2 linked regions of the Yarrowia lipolytica genome follow. Each later gene encodes a partner of the first gene's protein in a complex. Links are inferred from orthologs where the notes say so. Each region holds a gene or a part of one and is shown on either strand. Other genes may lie near its edges.

Region 1 (3,756 bases):
TTCCACTTAGTTCTCAAAGGTGGTCTGGTGGACGTGAGGGGCGGGGGCATTCTTCAGTCGATCGGGTCGAGAAGCAGCCTCGGCGTCAGCGTCGTAGACAAGGAACTCATGCAAAGCCTTACCAGCGGGAACCATGGGAAGAACGGGGATCTTCTTGTCGACAACAACCTCAACGAGCACAGGGCCCTTGTATGCGAGCATCTCCTTGAGACCGGCCTCCAGCTGGTCAATGTGAGTGATTCGGATACCCTTCATGCCCATGGACTCGGCCAGCTTCATGAAGTCGGGGTTCTTCTGATGAGTGTGGCAGTATCGGTTCTCGTAGAAGAGAGACTGCCACTGGGTGACCATACCCTGTTCCTCGTTGTTGAGGACAATAGCCTTGACGCCAATGTTGAACTGAACGGCGGTGGACAGCTCGGTCAGAGTCATGTTGAAAGAAGCGTCACCATCGATGTCAATGACGTCGCAGTCAGGTCGGGCAACCTTGGCGCCGATAGCGGCGGGCAGGCCGTAACCCATAGTTCCAAGACCACCAGAAGTGATCATGGTTCGAGGGTGTCGCCATCGGAAATGCTGGGCAGTCCACATCTGATGCTGACCAACACCGGTGGTGATGATGGTCTTGTCCTTGTTGTTCTCTGTCAGGTCAGAGAGCAGAGCAATGACGGACTGGGGCTTGATAACACCATCCTCACCTTCAGCCTCGAAGAGGAAGGGGAACTGCTGCTTCCAGGACTGGATAGTCTCAGTCCAGGGAGCTCGCTCAGCGGCAGAGACCTTGTTGATGAGGGGGATGAGCTGTCGGACAGACTCGGTAACGTCTCCCTCAACGGCTTCGGTGGCCTGAACAACCTTGTTGATGTTCTTGGCCTGGATCTCAAAGTGAACAATACCACCTCGACCCTCAAGGGCAGCGGCTCGAGCCTCGGGGGCAAACTTGGGGATGGAGCCGGTAACTCGGTCATCAAATCGGGCGCCGAGAGCAATGATACAGTCAGCGTTCTGCATGGCCATGTTGGCGTAGCCGGAACCGTGCATACCGAGCATGTGCAGAGACTTGGGGTCTCGCTCGTCAAAGGCACCAAGACCCTGCAGAGTAGTGGTGACGGGAATCTCGGCCTTCTCAGCCAGCTCCTTAAGCAGCTTAGGACCCTCCTCGGAGCCAAGGATACCCTGTCCGACGTAAAGGACGGGCTTCTTGGACTGGTTGATGAGGTTGGCGGCTCGCTGGATAGCCTGCTTCTGGAACTCGGTGGCGGCGGCAGAGGTGAGGTTGGTCAGAGAATGCGAGGGAATGGTGGACTTGGTGGGGATGGGCTCTCGCAGGATGGCAGCAGTAACATCCTTGGGCAGATCGACGAGAACGGGACCGGGTCGGCCGGAAGTAGCAATCTCAAAGGCCTCGTTGATTCGTCGGGGGAGCTCAGCAACGTTCTTGACCATGACGTTCCACTTGGTGCAAGATCGGGAGATGCCGACAACATCGGCCTCCTGGAAGGCGTCAGTGCCGATAACGGAGGTCAGGACCTGACCGGTGAAGACAACCATGGGGGTACCATCGGAAAGAGCGTCCTGCATGGGGGTGATGACGTTGGTGGCACCGGGGCCAGAGGTGACGAGAACGACACCGGGCTTACCAGAGGCTCGAGCGTAGCCCTCGGCCATGTGGCCGGCACCCTGCTCGTGTCGAGGGAGCACAAAGTTGAAGTACTCAGAGTTGTGAATGGCGTCAAAGACGGGGAGAATGGCTCCACCGGGGTAACCGAAGACAGTGTCGACGTTGTGTCGCAGCATCATCTCGTGGAAGATCTCTCCTCCAGACATTCCGATGAAGGACTCGTCCATGTCAGCGTTGGCAGCCTCAGCCTTCTTGAGGATAGGAGGCTTGCCAACGGTGCCCTGGAAGTGGGGAGCGGGCTGGGATCGTCTATGTTAGTATGCGATAGAGAGTGGCCGTAGGTCATGAGCAGATAACAACAGGGCTGGAGAAAAGGAAGGAATGTTGTCAGTCACCAGAGAAGGCATGGAATCACAAAAGCGAATGGAGCAACAAGAACGGCTGTAGTGACAGTGTTTCGGTGGTTGGATAGAGAGCGAGTTCTCATGCTTGTGTCGTCATATTCTATCACACTCCATACGTTAGACGTGGGATGGATATATCAGCCGCACCTTCAGACAGCTGAGAGGTAGTGATTGTGGGAAGATACTGATATTTCATTTGTCGTTATTTGTCACCTCTTTATCTGCTCTGTGTGTGTCGCTTTTCCACACATTACATTTCTGGTCGTTGCTTTTCGTCTCAGTTTTTTCCACCTGTTTTCGCTGGTCTTCTGACTAGTGCTTCCAAACACTATACAGTGGTTCTGGGTCGTTTATGGCAAGGAATACTCACTCAGCAGTTGCCGGCTGGGCAGCAGGGGCTTTTGTGTTGGAAACATATCGCAGACCAAGAGAATACTTGGATCTGGAGATTCTGGCCAGGTTAGTGGCCCGTCGGGCGAGTCGCGATTGCATGTTAGTATACAGAGACAAATCAAGACGCTTGCAATCTTATAAACCACCCGGTGAGTAATTGCGGAGACAAGGACGTGAAAAATTGCCAACCTTAATCCGGCTGCAGGGTAAGCGATATCGGCGGGTGTACACTGGGACTAGGGAAAGAGCTTACAGGTACGCTGCGGTATCGGCATATTTCCAAATGAAGCATTAAACGTGGTAAAACACATCGCCGGGCCGTGTTTCCAATCCGCTCAGTCTCCTCTTGTGTCGCCACTTGCAAGCTAAATTCTCCGATCGCCCTACTTGTAGAATCACCCAACCCTCGGCATCAAGGCAAAAGTTTATCCTCGGCGTGCTTGCGGAGAAAAAAGAGTCACAAGCAGAAAAGGTATCTCGCACATTTGAGACGTTTAACAAAGGGCAATAAGAGGGCAAGAAATAGGGACGCGGTAGGCTCCACACGCGGCACATATTGTGAGCACCTGTGACTTTGTGGCTGCTCGGTGTTGCTCTGTATGAGATGTACCATTACACCTACACCACCTACCGTGTTCGGGGCAGATAGAATTCGTCCCTGAGTCAGAGAGGCTGCATCTTTCTCTGTATCGACCCATCAGAAATCCACGTAAGCACAGAGAAAGAGGGCGCAGAGTATTTTCCGTAGTCTAGCACAATACATACCAGAGCTCGTGCTCGTGCTCATACTCGTACTTGTGTCATAGTTACCGTTTCTGTACAGTAGAACAATTGGCTCAACAGTTACTCTGCAGTAGGTATGCTAACAGATACAGACGTCTACAGTCTATTGGCCTGTATCGGCCTGCAAAAAAAGTCGGGAGTTGTCGGGAGGTCAAAGCACGTCCCACGATACTGGAGGTTGAGAGGAGACGTTTCACCATACATGAGCAAGAGAGTCTTGGCATGGGAAACTTGCCGCCCAGCATGCCACGTCCAAGAAACGACACCCGCGGAGTGTTTGATGCATTCGCTACGAGTACAGTGCGAAAATAACTGGTTGGCGCATCACACATCAAAGAGTCACCTTGCACTGTAGGGCTAAAGTCCGGCAGCGATACCGGCGTGATTAGATTTATGACTGACCACGTACATGCTAAAACGTGTGACAGACTTAAAACCACCCCTAAAAATGTAAAAATGTCCATGGGCCTAAACAATCGGAGACAACTTGTGGGGTAGAGGGAGATTAAAATGGGCTAAAACGTGGGGGAGGATATCGTAGCTAATGGTGGGTCG
Region 2 (2,631 bases), about 1.3 Mb from region 1:
TCCTTTTGCAGTTTCGAAAATCCGAAAGCTCAGTCTTCAATTGATAAAATAATATGATTTCTGAGTTCCTGGGAGCTGGGAAACTTATGAAGGCGGGATGGAGTGGCAATTGGGGTCTATATAATGACGAGTGGTGAGATATCTACAAAATGTTCGTTTTTCTCTTCTGAAATTTCTTGGCTGGAACTCTTGTCCTTTATTTTTAATAAAATCATAAAAATATAAATAATAACTAAATAAAACACGGGAAAAAAAAAAAAACATAATCAAACTTTTTGAAAAGTATTAACTAAATAAATATAAAAATAAAAATAAAAATAAAAATAAAAAACACGGCATTAAAAATAACGAGTCAATTTTTTTAAAAAAACACCTCTTCTCTAATACAAGTACAAATAGTCTGAGTGCTGGTAAAGTACTCATATTTGACACTCAAAGTGTCTCTTTTCGTCTTCACGGCCTGGCTCAACAACTTCCTACTGCTCCCTACATTTCGCACCACGTCAACTCCTGCTAATGCTATATTACTACATCCGTTATTCAATTTTGGGGTCCTCAACCACCGTCTAACCAGGAGGCAGAGAGGTCTGGTCAACCACCTCCTCGGCCTTCTTGATGTCCTCCTCATCGGGGGTCTCAAGAGGAGTTCGGGGCAGGGCCATCATTCCGGATCGGGCCACCTCAAGAATACCAAAGGGCTTGAGAAGGTGCAGGAAGGAGGAGACTCGCTCGGGCTTGGCCGAGAGCTCGACAATGACGTTTCGCTCAGAAATGTCGAGAATCTTGCCGCCAAACTGGTGGGCCAGCTTGGTCACGGCGTCCAGGTACTGGTGCTTGTGTCGCAGAGCCTCGGAGGCGGCAATGTTGTTGGGGTGGAAGTCGTTCTGCAGCACGGCGTCCTCAAACTCGTGGCCGTGGTGGGTCAGCAGATCCTGGAAGTACTCGGGGCCCAGAATCGACACTCGGGCCAGCAGCAGCTCTCGCTTGATGATCGAGGCGTTGGAGTAGTCCAGCACTGCCCACACGGGCACCAGATCCTCAATCTGTCGTCGCGCCTGCTCGATCACGGCATCCTGGCCTCGCAGAACAATGGTCATTCGCGACAGATCGGCAACCTCCGTGTTGCACACTACCAGCGAATCAATGTTGAAGCCTCGAGACGCCAGAGTGCCGGCAACTCGCGACAGAACACCGGGTTCGTTCTGAACCAGACAGTTGAACACGTGTGCCTTGATGGGCGCCTTGGACGGCATCGGGGTCTCGTACAGAATGGAAGAAACCGCCGTGTTGGCGTTCCATGCTGGAGTCTCGATAACGGGCAGCTTGGGCTGCGATCGGTTTCGGTGGAGCGTCTTGTACGCCAGGGCACTGATGGACGAGTGCCGAGCGCCCTTGGGGGTCAGCACGGGACCCACAAATCGTTTTCCAAGCATGTTGTGGGGAGAAGAAGATGCGGTAGGAGGAAAGGAAGTTGTTTTTAAGGTGGTGGTGTAGGTAGAGTCATAACTTTATTTTGTGAGGAGAAGGAACCAGTGAACAAGCCTGGGTGGTCACCACAGCAGAAATGATGGCCGTTACAGAGCACGGGTGGTCACCACACGTCGGCCGTGGGCCCCATCACACAATCCATATCTTCACCTTTCGGCCAAGTATATTAACTCATAACCTGATCCGATTGGTCGGATGGCACGACAAAAACCATGCATCACCAACAACAATAAACAGGTCATGCCATTACTCCATTTGTGTGGCATCACATGACATCGATCTTGTCGTGCCACTACTCTTGTCGTCCCATTACATTGCTCTTGTCGTCCCATTACATTGCTCTTGTCGGTCGTCCCATTACATCACTCGTGTAACCCATTACTGTACACATGTCCTCCCCCGGCTATCGGGACCCATTATCTGCATTGCACTCCAGCCAATTACTCCTGTCCCGATATCGGTGTAGCAGCGGTAAAAATACGTGTAACTAGGTCCACAGAAACGTCACCGAGAATCAAAGTAGTTCATTTTTGTCGGAGTCGTTGAAATACCATCCTCTCGAAATTTCAATCCGGCTTTCCGAAAACTCCAACAAAGATCAACTCTTCCGATATCGGCATGACTTTTGATATAAAAGTAAATTAAAAATTAAATTGAAAAAATTGAAAATTGAAAATCAAAACCAAAATCAAAATCAAAATCAAAATTGAAAATTGAAAATTGAAAATTGAAAATCAAAAAGGTAGATAAGTATTCAAAAATAACAAAAAAAATAACCAAAAATAACAAAAAAGGCACACAAAAACTCACCCAAATATAAACCATTTCCACCATTGCCGGCGTCAAATCCCGACACTTCTTGCCCCAGGCAACCGACTTCGTCATGCACCTGTCCGTTATCGCAGGATAGAAGACAATATTGGATGATAGAACGGGTTGTAGTGAGTCGGTTTCTAATATTAAAACGATGTTGCCACCTATGGTACTACGGATACAATCTGGTGCTTGTAAATCGCCAATCGGGGCATTCTTCGATCATCTTGATACCAACCGTTATCGGTGCAAGAATTTTTTATTTTTTTTTATGAGCCGATTTTTGCCGAGTCAGCTAGAGTTACTTGATGTGAATAAACTGGAGAAAAT

What was found. Proteins that work in one complex are often made in the same cells at the same time.
Region 2: the proteins of YALI1_C00293g (region 1) and YALI1_C13355g are in contact, whole or in part, in a crystal structure (PDB 6U9D), measured with the Saccharomyces cerevisiae proteins. The link is inferred for Yarrowia lipolytica from reciprocal best matches to the Saccharomyces cerevisiae genes ILV2 and ILV6. Residues at the interface, in NP_013826.1 of Saccharomyces cerevisiae: Arg211, Lys215, Trp216, Asn217, Ile236, Pro269, Ser270, Ala272, Leu273, Pro410, Lys411, Ile413, Asn414, Lys415; in NP_009918.1 of Saccharomyces cerevisiae: Gln85, Glu87, Ser92, Arg93, Arg101, Gln134, Arg137, Gln138, Glu140, Asp141, Leu142, Val143, Pro144, Val145, Tyr146, Ala147.

Annotation. Positions count from the first base shown.
Region 1 is NC_090772.1:27,436-31,191, forward strand, and holds YALI1_C00293g (uncharacterized protein), read right to left. Parts: upstream 2,518-3,756; coding exon 2,396-2,517; intron 1,931-2,395; coding exon 7-1,930; downstream 1-6. UniProt on the Saccharomyces cerevisiae protein: Catalytic subunit of mitochondrial acetolactate synthase, which catalyzes the first of a series of common steps in the biosynthesis of the branched-chain amino acids.
Region 2 is NC_090772.1:1,334,318-1,336,948, reverse strand, and holds YALI1_C13355g (uncharacterized protein), read right to left. Parts: upstream 1,434-2,631; coding exon 567-1,433; downstream 1-566. UniProt on the Saccharomyces cerevisiae protein: Regulatory subunit of mitochondrial acetolactate synthase, which catalyzes the first of a series of common steps in the biosynthesis of the branched-chain amino acids.